Styela clava: one gene and its partner. The protein of the gene in region 1 interacts with the protein of each later gene in a biochemical or structural test. Links are inferred from orthologs where the notes say so. Each region holds a gene or a part of one and is shown on either strand. Other genes may lie near its edges. The genes, in order: pre-mRNA-processing factor 6-like and CD2 antigen cytoplasmic tail-binding protein 2 homolog.

What was found.
Region 2: the proteins of pre-mRNA-processing factor 6-like (region 1) and CD2 antigen cytoplasmic tail-binding protein 2 homolog form a complex in vitro, tested with the Homo sapiens proteins (2 studies listed by BioGRID and IntAct). The link is inferred for Styela clava from reciprocal best matches to the Homo sapiens genes PRPF6 and CD2BP2.

The regions. Positions count from the first base shown.
Region 1 is NC_135256.1:6,263,400-6,272,383, reverse strand, and holds the start of pre-mRNA-processing factor 6-like, read left to right. Parts: upstream 1-5,560; 5' UTR 5,561-5,640; coding exon 5,641-5,738; intron 5,739-7,161; coding exon 7,162-7,327; intron 7,328-8,565; coding exon 8,566-8,778; intron 8,779-8,984. UniProt on the Homo sapiens protein: Involved in pre-mRNA splicing as component of the U4/U6-U5 tri-snRNP complex, one of the building blocks of the spliceosome.
Region 2 is NC_135258.1:7,298,200-7,305,915, reverse strand, and holds CD2 antigen cytoplasmic tail-binding protein 2 homolog, read left to right. Parts: upstream 1-5,381; 5' UTR 5,382-5,448; coding exon 5,449-6,543; 3' UTR 6,544-6,553; downstream 6,554-7,716. Other genes in the region: ELMO domain-containing protein 3-like, read left to right, coding at 7,265-7,372. UniProt on the Homo sapiens protein: Involved in pre-mRNA splicing as component of the U5 snRNP complex that is involved in spliceosome assembly.

The DNA of each region.
Region 1 (8,984 bases):
ATTCAACATACAAAATATTCAAGTACAAAATATGTCTTAATTGGGAAAGTAATTTAACTCTATTCCAAGATCCCGACTACGGTGTTTCAATTGCTTAAAATTCGACTCGGCACCAGCAAGTTTAAAATTGAGAACCCAGTTCAAACAGTTATTCTATTAAAGACTCTACTATGGCAACCATAATCGGAATGCTCCTGCAGTCAAACTTTGTGCTGCCCGGGGTGAGTTTCTGATAATGATGCCCCTTAAACCTAACTTCAAAAATAATTTGGGGATAAACAAATTATTATAGATGTTGTTATACAATATCCATGATAGTAAATGAATTAAAGGCCAAGTAAGAGTAAAACGTTTGTATTATTATTATTATTTAAATTATCAAACTAAGCAACAAACTCATCCCTACAACGCGCTGCCCGGGGTGGCTGCCTCGGTTTAAGTTATGATACTTTATTTAATTATCGAAGAACGGATTAGCATGAGAAATTTGAACCATGTTGAGGTCTAAGTATTGTGTAGAGAAAGAGAGTGAGTAAGAAAACTTCCTCTAAATATAACAAAATACTTTTCACGTTTTCTACAGTGTCCACACGCCTCAAACCAACTCATCTCTTTGAATCCGTGGCCAAGCCGTCTTTACACACCTCAGACTGATATGTTTGTTTGAATTCGTATTGAGTCCACTCGTCCGTGGAAGAATAGTTAACTTGGTAGGCACGTCACCATCACCAATCTTACTTTGTTTCTTTGGGAAGAAAACGCTCACTATTTTCCACCTGTCGTTGAATGTCATTAATACGCAAATAACATTGATAAAACTTACTACGTCTGCTCCTGTCGCACTAATTGAAAGAGGAAAGGACCCTGGAATCAAACGGATAAATACTGCAAGGAATAGGATGTCAGAGACAACAGCAATGCATGTCCAGGTTAACATACGCCGAAATATTTTTTGTATATTGCTAGACTTCGAAGTTTCTGCATTGCACAAAAGTTTTCTCCACTTTGACCCACTATATCTTGATTTGAATTCCATTGTGTTCTTCACAATTGGGTAGGCGAGCAGGCCAAGAAGGATGAATTGGGCTAGAAACATTGGGAGGTACAATATAGTATACAAGGGTCTAATTTTGTTTTTAATATATACACAACCCTGAGATACTCGCTCGTAACGATCAAATACAATGAAAATATTTATAACTAGAATCAAATGCGCAGAAAGCATCGCAAATATTCCCCAACTCAAGAAATTAATGAATTTTCCTGTAGTGAGACTTTTTTTATAAATTATTCTTTGTCTCACCCATAAGAAGGAATAAGTAAGATATGTAATGATCACGTAATAAATCTTTGCCACACCATTGACCGTATAACATAAAAAGAAAGTGTTTGCTCCCCGGAGTGCCTGGATGTAAACTAGTCCGATCAGAAATTTTGGAAGGAGGACGCCTTGAACAATTGTAAAAAGAATGTGCAAAACTCTACCACTGAAAAATGTTGTCGTTTCGCCGTTTTTCTTCCATTTTCCATTCTGAATACAGTAGAAAATGAAACTCGCTAACATCCAGCAGGATAGTAAAAAGAGAATTGCTTCAACTGCATGTAATAACGCCAGTATTACACTAATCACAGAGGCGTCCGAATCTCCATCGTTGAAGTTGAATGTTTGATTCGAAGCGATAGTTGAATTCACTTCTATAAAAGTGTAGTTAGTAGCAGATTCATTGGAATTACGACTGCCATTGCTTAGCACCTCTGTAGATTTGCTTCCAAAATTCATTTTGTTTTTATACTTTTTAATCAAACGAAGAACATATAAATACCTAATTCAAAGACGTACAAGTAGTACAAAATTTTTACTAGAATTGAAGTTTCATACGATGACTGATGAAAGTGCCAGAACATGAACGACAAGGCAATATATATGTGATGAAACACATGCGTAAGATGCGTTAATTATTGTTATTATGTAATAATGCATTCGTAACATCCTATTTAATCAGTATTTGTTAGCGTTACGTACAGAAATTTTGTTTTTGGACACGTAGTGGACATAACGATCGTTTCAATATTATGTTGTTGTTGTTGTTCTTGTTCTTTGACACGTTTTTAAAAAGTCGCTTTTCTCTTCGAATACTAGACCAATTGCTTTGAAATTTTCAGTGGTTAAAGATTAATTTTTTCGCTAGAAGGCTATTACTTTTGTTTATTCTTAAATTTTATATGAATCCTATGAGATATGATATTTCATACAAAATTTCGCGGTATTTATTACTCATGGGAACACTGTTTTACACTTATTTCAAGCGGTTTCGCGATCGATTGTCTTGCTCAGTACTACAGCTACTGTAGGTCGGTACTGGTAAGTTGCCATACAGGTACCGTAACGCAGTGAAATTGACTTATTCCTTCCGCAGTATTACTAATGCTGCAATGCAAGTTTTATAGCCTATCGTATGCGGAACGGAATATCAGACCTACAGGTTCGGTACCGGTACTGGTAGCTCAGTACGTAAGTACGATACTGGTACTGGTACCGGTGTCTTACCACAATGAAATTACCGTAACTTATTCTTTCACGGTCCTACCAGTGCAGTAATGCAAGCGTTGTAGCCTACTATATTTGTTTATTTTGATGAGAGTCTACTGGAAACAACATAAAATTTGAAAGGGAAGAATTGTTCTGTGATCAAATATCTGTCCTAAAGTGTAAACAACATAAAATTTGCAAGGGAACAACTGTTCTGTGATCAATTACGGTACCGTATATGGCCTACAGTGTACAGGTAAGATGCTGGCTGACTGCTAACCGGTACTGGTAGCTCAGTACGTAAGTACGATACTGGTACTGGTGCCGGTACCGGTGTCTTACCACAATGAAATTACCGTAACTTATTCTTTCACGGTCCTACCAGTGCAGTAATGCAAGCGTTGTAGCACTTGTAGCCTACTATATTTGTTTATTTTGATGAGAGTCTACTGGAAACAACATAAAATTTGAAAGGGAAGAATTGTTCTGTGATCAATTATCTGTCCTAAAGTGTAAACAACATAAAATTTGCAAGGGAACAACTGTTCTGTGATCAATTACCGTATATGGCCTACAGTGTACAGGTAAGATGCTGCCTGACTGCTAACTCAGTACCGCTTGACACGTTTTTAAAAAGTCGCTTTTCTCTTCGAATACTGGACCAATTGCTTTGAAATTTTTAGTGGTTAAAGATAAAAATTTTCTCCAGAAGGCTATTACTTTTTTTCGCTATGACGTCATCAAAATTATGTGACTCTACGTGTCCATATATTTGAGCATAGCTCTCTTGTTAAATATTCGAAGATGCTTTTATTCTATTATTAATGACTGTTTCTCACATGTTTTAAGGATTACTAATTACTTATTTAAGCTGAAATCTTCTTGTCGGTTTATTGGACACGAAATGGACCTATAGATCGTTTTGTTATTATGTTGTTGTTGATTATCATGTTGTTAGTATTTTTTTCTTTTTTTTGCTGTCAAAATCGCTTTCTATTTAACTGTTGGACCAAATGCTTTAAAATTTTCAAAGATTGTATTTTGCACTAGAAGGCTATTTTTTTTAATTTATTTCAATATTTTTGTGGGCTCTATGGGATTTGTTTTTTGGCGCTCTAGAAGTATGTGCACCAAGATGGCGAACAACAACATGATAACCCCAACCTGGTACACAATATACTATGGTCAGGTTGTGCGCCATCCTGTGCACCCAATTCGGGAGCACCGGTTTCTGTGTGCGATTTCGTCATCGAAAATTGCTCACCTTGTGGCAGTTTGCGGTACGTGTTGAACTTCGTGTCGATATATTTGAGCATTGTTCTCTTGTTAATAATATTGATCGAATACTTTACAATTCAGCCACCAAGATTTCAGTTGTACAATTTTGATATGTCCGTTTTCCTTTCTAATGCATTACATAAAAATTGATGCATAAGCCTTGCAGATAAAAACATAATTTGACATTATTTGATTCAAGCCGGAAAAGAAATCAGTGATTCGAAAGTCCGGTGAGGAATAGAGAATCTCGCACATAACTATCTCCCGTGGGATTTGACCCTGTGAACCTACGCAGGATAATCAGAGGTGCAGTGGCGATCGTTTATCTAACGCTTAGCACGATGCGCCCACCGCCGAGTCACGGGAATATGTAATTCCATTCAACACTCAAAGAAAGGCATGGTAGCTGACGTTTGGGGCAAGTCACATATCGCATTTGACAGAGAATTTTCGTTACTTATACAGTAATAATATTCGATAACAGAATCTTTGTATTATTCAGTTTAATATTGATATCACTGTTGTAATAATGTTATGCTATTTAATTAACATATTCATATGTTACCTAGCAAATCATTCAGCGTTCTATTCTTTGAAATTTTGTTGATTTGCTTTCATATTATTAGAAACAAATGTTTTTACGACACCTGTGGGCTCGTTGATACCGTAATGATTTGAGCGTTTCCATCGCCTGATCTGTTAAGCCGAAAAATATTGGATTTCAATTATCGCAACTAAAATTTCGGCGGCTGAATGGTAATGCTGTTGAGCAATATTGCTAGTTAGGATAGGATTTGCACATTTATCTCGGAGAAGATGAAAGCCGATTAGACGGCTTAATCATATGGCGAACCGGTTACACCCTAAAGCGGTGAGGAGTCTAGCAATCCTCTCGCACATAATCAACCCCGCATGGGACTCGAACCTTGCGAACCAACGCAGGGTAATCGGAGATGCGGTGACGAGCGTATTCGTAACGCGAAATATTTTTATTTCCACAAAACAATGTTAAAAAGGACAACAGTACAGATTATGTAGACAATATGAAATTATAAAATAAAGACAGAAAATGAGACGGCTGTTAAAATAAATTTTTTTTACTATTCGACAATTTACATCAGATTTATTGTATAGTTCAGAGGGCATGTGTAAATAGTTAAGAGGACATGTGTAATGCTTAGCACGATGCGCGTCACACCGACGATTTAGCAAGATTAGGAGTTTTTATTGTAAATAAATAATTAGTAATCCATAATACATGTGGGAAACAATCATCAATATTAGAATGGAAACATCTTCGAATATTTCAGAAGAAAATCACTGTATTTAATTTATCTGTTCCTGCTTATAACCACCACTTTCTTGTCGAAAATAAAATTCCGAGAACGATACCATTCGCAATTCCGAACAAATCATCTTTCATTTTAGTAATGTAAAGTCGATGATCGAAGCAGCACACCTTATAATTATATTGTCATAACTCCACATTTTTTTTGTTTTTTCAATGTATTTATACCGTTATATTCTGATATTACCATCAATGCGAACATTAAACAAAATCATTCCTCAAACCGCCTTGTGGTTGGAAAAGTTCGTGGGGCGATAGTATAGGTTCAAAGGTTGGAGTGCTCAAAAGAGAATTCTGAGGGGTGCACTGCGACCTGTGTGCAAGATGTCTCAATTCCGTTTGTCATTGGAATTTATTTGGCACAAAAAAGAAAGATTACTCAACAAAGGCAAACGGCAGAATTTAAGTATTTAATTTTTTTGTTACTTCCAGAAATTTAGATAGAACAGATACTGCACCTAATAGGTTCAATTCTAATAATTGAATGGCTGAGTTAACTGGCGTTGTACAAACACAGAAAAAAAAGAAACCTTGGTTGGGGCAACCAGCTCCCCCCGGATATGTCCCTGGCCTCGGGCGTGGGTATGTTTTTAATTTAATTGCATTGACATCAGTTTGTTTTAATGATTGAATGATTCGTCATGTATGTGTGTTTCAATAGTTCACAGTTTAACCAATATATCCAATGGTTTTATTGTCTGTATTGGGGTCTCTCTCCTATCGGGATCGTTGCGACGACTGGACGAGAAAACAAGAGCAATGGCTGTTCGATTTCGGGTTCTCGTCTGCGTGTCTTGGATGACAGTTCGCATAATTTGAAGGGCTCTATTACGTCACTGTGACTTCGTAGTGACGTAATTTTTAGCTGGTGTGGTCAGGCCTGTATTGCGTACCGTCAGACCGTAGAACTTGCTAACACCATTTTGAAAAACTATGCAAACTTAAAACTATGCTTTGAAAAAACAAGAACGAATTTGCTGATTATCTTGACACTCCAAGGACGGGTTCGCACGAGCCCCCTGAATTCCACCACTGATTAAACAGTCAGTTATACAGTTACACTACAACTACTGGACTATAATCAGCCCGACGAAATCTTTTTTTTTACATCATGATAAATATTGTTTACTGTTTTGTTTTGTTTTTATGTCAGAGTACCGAAATAAATGATTGATTGATTACTCTTATTTACAAAATCTATATTCAATTTTTCAACTTCTATAAAGTTATTAAAATGGTGTGGCAAACAATTCCCTGTTTTTTATTACAATTCTTGTTTTGGGTCCTGTATAGTTTAATAGTGCAAATATGTCTAGTAGGCATGGCTCAACAGTTTTCGCATATGTCATTTCTAACCCCCACCTAACTATGTCATCCTGAGTGACATCACTATGATGGCACAGTGACGTAATAAGGCCCGCCGAAATATTCGGGCAGCTGTCCAGAATGTGCTGGGGATCACCCAAAATCGAGAGGGTTACGTCATATACGTTCCCTCCTTTTCTCGTCAAAAATCCTCATATGAGAGAGATTGATAGGGTTAATGAGTTTGTTATCACCTGGCGCTGACGCCATTTTGAGCGATGGTACATACAATTTTGCAAGCTGTATGACATGAATGTAATGTTGTAGTGACATAATTTATGGATGGTGTAGTCAGGTTGGGGTTAGGAATAGGATTGACATGAGCAAAAATCATTATGCTACGCCCACTGGAAGTACTTGAGGTACGAAACTACACAAGACCCGATGTAAAATATCTGCAGATTACATGGCCTGCGTACTCCTGTCACACACAATATCTTTTCAAGGATAATGATAATTTCATTCAAGGCTTAAGCGGAAATGTACAAAATAATTTATTTGGAATTGGTTAACTTCCGTGATATAAAATATTTAATTTTGGGAACATTTGGATTCCCATTTTCAATTTTTTTACTTTTTATCTTCAACATTGATAAAAAAAAGATGAATTATTTTCACAACTTTTATATCATATTTTCAGAGCTACAGGTTTCACTACGAGATCTGATATTGGTCCAGCTAGAGATGTTAGCGATCCAACAGATGACCGCCATGCCCCTCCTGGCCAGCGAACATTCGGAGATCAAATGAAAGCAAAGAAACCAGAGGATGAAGAAGAAGATCTCAATGACTCAAATTATGATGAGGTAGCAATTGAAATAATTGCTTTCTTTTTGGCACTCCCTATGTGAACCAAGATGGCGTACACTATAACGTAATATGTGTACCAGGTTAGGGTTGTGCCATAATTTCAAGTCCAAATACTACGGTAGTCACTTGGCTGGTCACCGAAATCATAATAGAATTCAAATAAGGAAAATTGGCATAAAATTATTGCCTAACCCTAACTTGTTCAGGTGTCCACCATCTTGGTTCACATACTACGGTAGCACCTTCTTTTTTTTCAAATGTTTACCTGAGATACAAACTCAAAATGCACTGGTCGTTTATGGCTTTCTCCGCTATCAAATAAATGGCTAACTATTCCCATATTAGACATGGACTGGTAGCTTGACGAGAGGATGTGATCTGACACATGGTTGAGCTGTCTTATCAACTATATTCTTTCCTGAAATAAATATGAAAAATCCATTTATCGCTATATGACGCATTATGGCGTGCTAAGCATTAGGTTTACGCTCGCCACTGCACCTCTGATAACCTTGCGTGGGTTCGTAGGTACGAATCCCATGCCATGCGGGTTGATTATGTGTGAGAAGGATTGCTGGCTTCCTTCCGAACATGGACTGGTAACCGGACGAGAGGCTGTGGTATGCCATATGATTAGTCTGTCTTATGGCTTCCCTATTCCTCGGGATATATATGTACTGTAAGTCCTATTCTATAAGTATTGTTGCAGTTGAAACTTTTACAGACTAACAAAATCCATTTCTAGAAAATAAGACATAAACTAGTTTGAATTTACTACGATGATATATGTAGACGTTATCACTTTTACATATTATGCTATGATGAAGTTTTTGTTTGTATGGAAATTCAAAACGTCTGCAAATTGCATGTTTTATTGACACCTTGAACGTTTTATATAAGTTTATTTCGACTCCTTAATCAGCATAACAATAAAATGATTGATAAAAACAAATAAAAAAAATGATTGTGGAATCAGGAGAGCGAACAAAACCTTAGATAAGGTTTAAAACATACAAAATATAAGATGGAAGGTTTTGCCAAGAAGAATTGGTATGTGTTCACCCACCTAAAATTATTAAACTATTTCACACACGCACCCACCACACACACAGAGAACCACAGAGGAATTATTTAAGTAAAAAAGAAAACGCGACCTAACTTGTCCTAATATATTTTATGTAACGAGTAACGACTCTATTATACTCCTGTTTCTAAAACACAATCTGTATTTCAGTTTACTGGATATGGAGGAAATTTATTTGCATCTGCTCCTTACGAGAAAGACGATGAGGAAGCAGATGCTGTTTATGATCATCTCGATCGGAGAATGGACGAAAGAAGGAAGGAATATAGAGAGGAAAGGGAACGAGAAGAACTGGAAAAATTTCGTGAAGAAAGACCAAAAATTCAACAAATGTTCTCAGACTTGAAAAGAAAACTTGGAGTGGTAGGATCTCAAAAATTCATTCTTTTAAAAACCATACATGAGTGGCTTAGATTGACTAAGAGTTTTTGGGTCTAGTGTAGTTCGTACCTGAAGGACTTCTAGTGGGCGTAGCATAACAATTTCTTCATTATGTTAATCCTAACCCCCACCTGACTATGTCATCCGAAAATTACATCATCACGACGGTGGGGGTTAGGATTGAGATG
Region 2 (7,716 bases), on another chromosome or scaffold:
TCCGAACAGGGGCGGATTAACCAGTAAACAATATAAGCACGTGCTTAGGGCACCAAGCAAAGGGGGGCACCACAGAAATTTTTATAACAGAATTTTCAATAGTTCATCGGTGTTTAATAAAATATTACGAGTTGAACAGACAACTCAGACTTGTTCGTATTTTCTTTTCCTCAAGCATCATATTAAGCTTCTAGAATCTAGATCAATGGTTGGAGGTTTGCGAACTACCTTCGTGTACGTGTACATCAATGGACCTATCCCCGACCATTGACCCCCGAAAAATTCTTCCTATACTTTACAATTGCAAAATTCTCGGGGCTTATTTTAAAAGTGGTTTCGCGAGTTGGCCCCTATAAAACGGGATATTTGTTGAGACTATCATTGTGTTTCATGGCGTACAATAATCACCTTTTTATAAATACCGGTAAGGAATTTTAACCTAGTCTAACACAGCTATTTTTACACCAATTTTTCATTTACTGCAATTGAATTAAAACTTATAAAAAGACATGGTGATCATTTAATTATCTGATTTATACTCAAATTTCCGAAACACAACTGAAAACTTACGAATAGAGATAAAAAACGCGAAAACGAGATAATGTTTACAACTATGCCTGAAAATCTGTCTGAGGGAGAAAAGTGTCTGAGCGGATGCGAAAAGGGTGCATTGTTACGTCACTTTTTTGCATCTTGCTGATTGGCCAATTACTCGAAGTCAACAAGGAGGTTGATGCTCGGGGAAGGTACATTAGTGATGAACACTGAAACTTACTTGTCGAAAGTTTGGTGTAGCGACAACATCAAAATTAAAAATGGCGCACTATGTGGCGGTTCCGCGATCGCATTTCAGCGATCTAGAGGTCAGCGAAGTTGGGGAGTTTTCTGGTAAGGTAGACTAGACTAATAAGTACTGGTAAAATTTTAAACTGCAGTTTGTACTCGGTTCATCTGGTATTTCGATTCACGTTGAGACTTGACGCGTGAGTCTTGATCGTGACAATTCCCAGAATATATGGAAATCATATTCTGCTAAGCCAGTTGATGCAAACCTAGGCAGCTAGACTACTTATATTGCAGATAAAAATGCAAGAGCTGGAATTCGTTTTATGTTATTGTTTTGGAATGAAATTTTACAGAGTAAGTCAAGTTCTGCAAAGTGAGAATGTAGACTTACAAACATGCGCGCATCTGAATGCATCATTACGAGGCCAGCTGCGCATTCCACGAGATGAATTTGAACGCTATGAAGCGCTCACGCTACCACTGCAACCAAATGTCTCTTCATCTGCTGTCTGCTGAGAAGGAAAAGTATTCGCAGGGTTGTCAAAAGATTATTGATGCTTACCCAGAAGATTTCAACAGTAATTTCTCAGCTGAGCTTCAGCAGTTTCATTTATATGTGCTCCATAAATTCAATGACACAGGAAAAAAAATCAAGACTCAGTCATGCTGAACTTTACAAAATTCTTGTAGAATATAACATTGAGTGCGCCTTTCCAAATGTAGACAATAGCTTTCGAACATTTTTAACATTAATGATCACAAATTGTTCAGCAGAACGTTCATTTTCTCAGCTGAAGTATATTAAAAACCCCTACAGAACAACTATGAAACAAGACAGACTAGAATACTAGATGCTTTATCTCTGTTGAGTATAGAGGCAGATGTGTTACATAAGCTTAGTTTTGAGGATCTAATCAAAGACTTTGCAGCTAAAAAAATTAGGAAAAAACTTTTCAAAGGTAAGTGAAAGACTTCTGTCTTTTCAAATGTTAGTGGTGCCTTTGTAGTGTCAGTTGCATAGTATCTAGTATGAAGAGAGACTTGTTTTGATAATATGAGAAAATTTATCAGAATCAAATTCAAGTAAACGTACCGAAAAACATCGTTTGCTTCCTTACTGTTGGTATTGTGTTTATTTCAATTTCATCTTTTCAAAATTTTGTGTTGTTCATTATTTAATGTAAAAGATGTATTTTGTAAGAATAAGATTGGTTTTGGGAATATGAGCAAAATTTCACAGTCAAAAAATTGTAAGAAAACCTAAAAATGTTCGTAGAAGTTGTATTTTTTTACTGTTGGTTGTGAGTATTTTTGATGGATAATACACTTAATTATATGTATTTTAAAAGACATATATGGGGGCACCAAAGCCTCCAGTGCTTAGGGCACCAAAGGGGCTTAGTCCGCCCCTGCCTCCGAATATCATGTCCGACTGAAAACGGTACAAAATCATTGGATATCTTTTATAGCATTTCACGCAACAGTATGCTAGAGTCGATCTGCCGACATGCAAATGGTTTCATTGAAAATAAGACAGTGTCTTGTGATGTCCTTCATTTATCAAGAACAAAATTACAAAGTATTATGAAAGTACATGAATAATTCCATCCTAACACACAATTTTAGAAAGTTCTTAGTATTTTTAAAACGATAAAGAAGGAGTCACGTCTATGTCAGTCAGGTGAAATTTCACAATTTCCAAACTCTAACAGCATGTCATTCCGATTGATAGGGGCGAGATTTTATTATTGAATATTATAATAGTATATATGTGGTACATCATACAATTAAAGTTGTTGGAAACAAAACTTTGCATTTATGAGTAATCCGTTACTGAAATTGGCCTTTTTGGTTAAAGTCGACATAAGTGGAAAACATAAAATTTTACAATTTCCAGACTACAACAGCCTGTCCTTTTTGATTAAGAGTGGCGAGATTTTATAATTGTTGATACATAATTTATTATATACACTCCTCATCACATAATTTCGGTTGTTGGGGAAAAAAATTAGCATTTATGTATAATTCGTTAATGAAAATGCCCCATTTGTTCAAAATCTACATAAGGGAGAAACGTGAAATTTCACAATTTCCAAAATACAACTGCATGTCTTCCGATTTAAGAAGGGTATGATTTATTAAAACGAAAAAAGAGCAAAAATCTATTTTAACCGGGTCAATATTGAAGTCTGAGTCGTCAGACCAACTCGAATTAATTCAGTAACCACTGAGGCACCATTGTAAATACGTGGTGCTCCCCTCCGATAGGTGCTTACACTGCTTAGAGCACGTGCTTATTTTGCTTAATGATTTTAATCAAACATTCCTAGCCCTGACGATAGTTATAGAATACTGTATAGATAAACGGCTTACATCCAGGCAATAATCACGATCTTCGACCCAATGCAATATTTCATTATTGTTCGAGATACGGAGGCTCGTCAGAGATTGCCATTGATTGAGTGACGTTACCTGTTAATTAAGTAAGATTTTGAAAGTCCGATCCTCATCGGTAGCTATGGCGCAACAGCAGCGTAGAGTCACGGTAAATCGTAGGACCAGGGTTCGGATCCCATGGAGTTGAGCTGAGTAATAGTGAAGGACGTGTGTATAGGTAGGTAATGAGCTGGTCAGAGAGGACACGTAGCGAGCGAGAGTACAGGCAGGGACAGGACTAATAAAGAGCAGCCAGCGGAGTAGAAAAGCGAGTTTCAAAAGTAGGAAGGAAGGGCCGGTACGAGAGCGTGAAAGTAGAAAGGGAACTCAGCGCAACATGTAACCAGCAAATGAGACAGTAGTAGTACATAATGTGAGTCAACACACTGGTCCGATGTGGCGGGAATGCAGGTAGGGCTCACGGAAGAAGATGAGGCAGGGGTTACAAAAAAGCGAGTTACAAAATCCGGACTGATTTAAGTTAAATAAAGTTCAGTCCAGTTCAGCGAGCGTTATGTGAAGCTGGGTCAGCCAAACAGAATCCGAGACATGACATAAAGCAACCAACAGAGTAAGTTAGTTAGTAAAAGGAAGGGGCCGCCAGTCAAAGCAACATTGTGGACCAGCAGAGCAGAGAGTGTGTCGGATAAAAAAAAAACGAAACATTCAGAGAGGGGCGGGCTCAGGGAAGAAGAAGCTAAATAAAGAGCAACGGAGTAGAAAAGCGAGTTACAAAATTAGAAAGTAGGGAGGGGCCAGCCAGTCAGAGAGCGGATGAACAGAGTTCGAGACATGACGGGAAAGATAGGAAAAAGCAGCAGAGTTAATGCGTTAGGTAGTAGTCAGGGAGTAGGAGAGTAGGAAAGGACCAAGTGTTGAAAAAAGAAGACAGCACAAGCGAAACAGAAAGTAGAAAGGGGCCCAGGGACCAGGAGTCGAAAAAAGAAGACAGCAAAAACAGCACAAGCGAAACAGAGTCGGAGGAAGTTAATGCGAGTTACGGAAGAAGGGGCCAGGAGACAGCACAAGCGAGACAGAGTCAGCAGTCTGAGGGGAAGGACGGACGGACGGACGGACAAACAGATGACAGACAGACAGGACGACTGACTAATAAAAAACGAGTTACAAAATCAGTAGAAAAGCCAGTTTACAGAATCAGACAGGACAATTGCAGAAATTTAGCATGTTGGTGTAAAAATGCCATTTGTATTGTCCAATCAATCAGCTTGAGCAAGTGGGGTGGGTGCCAGTTCAGAATAAATGGTGGACAAAACAGAGGAAGAAGATGACTAAAAAAGCGAGTTCACAGAATCAGACGAGAGCAGCGGTCCCCATGTGGTATTTATTATATATATATATATATATATATATATATATATATATATAATAGGGAACCTCAGGACAATTGCAGAAATTTTGCATGTTGGTGTAAAAATGCCATTTGTATTATTGTCCAATCAGTTTGAGCAAGTGGGGTGGGTGCCAGTTGATGATGAGCCAGTCGATGATATATATGTGTCGGAAATGACGATAACACTGAAATTTTCTGTACTGGGATTTTCTGTGGTGAGGTCAATATTTATTTACTTGGCTGAAATGAAATGAAATGAAATGACTGATTATGAACATTTAAAAACTAACATGTAAACAACTTAGGGAACACTATCAGTTGAAGTAACGCGATACTACGAGAAAACACATTACCAACTCCAGAAAAAAAATTCTGGGGTCAAGGGTCGAGAAACATCCATTTGTATTTGGAAGGGTTGGGAAAGTGATTATTTTGCTCAAAACTTCAATAGTGGGGATGAATATATTAAATAGTATGCGCTTTGCTTATTATTTATGTTTAATATTGTGCAAGTGCTAACAAAGTGACCGGACAATGTGCTCACTCATGCTCATACCGAACACCCAGAGAGATTTATTGTTTCGTAAATGAAAAAACGAGCGCCGGGTCGTGGAATTTAGAAAATCTCCGAAGAAGGCTTCCGCAAAAGCAGCAGTGACTTCAAGCCTCGGCCTCTTATGATGCTCCGTTGATGGCATTTTCAGAGTTTAGTGATACCTGTATTCAGTGTAAAATGCTGGAATGGATATTTTCCAATTTTATTTTATCTTAAAAATATTCATTGACTGAAATTTTTACTTTTTACAGTTATAGGTACCGTACCGGTATGTCACAGCTCTATACGGTATCCAAGCCAGATACCAGTATTTTTTGAGATGTCAAAAAGAGTGAGATTCAGTGGTGAAGCTGGTGCAGAAGAGACTGTGCATAAATTTCCAAAATATGATGATGCATCTACAAAAAAATTTGAACTAAAAAATAATCAGGAAGATATTGTTGGACGGAGTCACCATCAATCTAGATTCAAACTCGACCACAGCCTTGATAGTGATGAAGAAGATAATAATAAGAAAGAAGATTTTGAAAAATTAACAGAAGAAGATGTTGAAGGAGCAGAAGATGATTATGTGGACACAGGGGAGGAAGTTGGAATCACACCTTTCAACCTAAAGGAGGAAATGGCTGAAGGAGACTTTGATGTTCAAGGGAATTATCATTTCCGGAAGGAGAACGTCATTCGGGATAATTGGTTGGATAATATTGACTGGATGAAAGTTAAAAAGAAAGATGTTGAAATGGAGCAAGATTCATCTGATGATGGAGAAAATACTTTAGATGAACTTGAAGTTTTGAAGAAAATAGTTGCTCTCATGCTACCTGGAGAAACATTAACCAGAGCTCTTCGACGCCACGGCGGAAAGGAGAAGAAGAAACGTTCATGGCGAAAAGAAAAAGTTTACGACCTTAATGCTACAAATGAGGAAACAAGCACAAGTAATGAAAATGACAAGGAAGCGAAACAGAAAGAGAAATTGTTGGAATTGACTGGTCTAGCAGATGAAATGACTGGCGCCGGACATTACGATGTTTATACAGATACTTACGAAAAGTTTCAACATAAAATTGAAAAAATGGAGGCCGAGAAAAAGGCGAAAGAGCCAGTTATACCTGATGACGCGGATGACGATGATGCTTTGGATATATTAGCAAGTAACATAGATGAAACAGACAAAATGAATGAATCTGGAAGTACTAATAGAAATGAGAATAGTAACGGTGAAAATGTAATAAAATGGGAATTTAAATGGACTGAGGAAGATTCTGAAATCCATGGACCTTTCACATCACAAGAAATGTTTGAATGGCAAGAACAAGGTTATTTTAAAGATGGTGTTTTGGTTCGAAGAACAGATCGTGATGAATCACAGTTCTATTCATCCAAACGAATAGATTTTGATCTTTATACTTGATCTATGAAACTAAGCGTCCTCATTTTTTCCAAATTCTTACTCTTCTTTAATGTGGATTTACTCAGCTGTGGGAGGAGATTTTTTGGGGCATAAAGTTTATCTGTAAATTATGTCACAACTGCAAAACTAAGATTAACTCAATCTGAGAAGTTATGTAGGGTAAAAATAACTCTGCATTTGAGGGTTTTATAGATAATGTTACTATTTCTTGTGCCTCAACTGTGTGTTGATTGGTCTCACTGCTGCACTGAGTTGAGACTAAATTACAGTCTTTCATTTGCTATTTTGTAGATTATACCTTGTCAAAATAATCTTCAAAATATCAGTGAAAGACCCTGCTTTAGTGTTTTGGGTGTCAGTTCATTTAAGTTACAACGTTAAACTTTGTCAGCTGATAATGCGTTTTTTCAAATGCCCTTTTTTGGCTTAATTTTGGTCATGTTTCAATTACAGAGTATTGGAAATACTTTTTGATAATTTTAGTCTGCAACAGTCATTTATCTTCTCCTTAATTTTATCGAACTACTAAATTTTCATCCCTTTGGCAGGAGTTTGACCTAGAGTAGTTCCTATGTTTTATTTGGTTGTTTAAATCGTTTGGTTCCCAACATTTTTAACGCACACAAATGAAATGCCAACAAAATACATAAAACAAATATTGGTTTGAATATGGAATATTCAATATTTTTTTTTATTTTTTATTTAGTGAAATAATGAAATAATGGAGGTTACAGGAGGTTCTTCGAGCACCAACACGAATAATGTTATTTCGGATAAAGACGTGAATATTGAACTTGGTTTTGAAAAATTGGAGGATCAAAATTTCAAGGTACATTTTTGATTTGGTGAAAATTTGGCTTATTGTCATTTATTTCGGTTTTGTTTATTATAAGAACACGTATGACATTACCGCCACTGATTTCTCTGTAGTAGTTATTTGAGGAGGAAATTCATGTTGTAACTCCGTGGATAATTGGTGGTGATTTATGTACCAACTGGTCAGCTTTCTCCACCATTGTGTCTATAGTTTTGTGTAAATTTATCAAACAATATTGCTTACATTGATATTCACTTGGCTGTAGTGTAGTGTTAAAACACACTTGCTATTAAACTACTAAATTTCCCACACAGAGTCAAATATTGTGGAGGTGATCACAAGAAACATGGGACTTT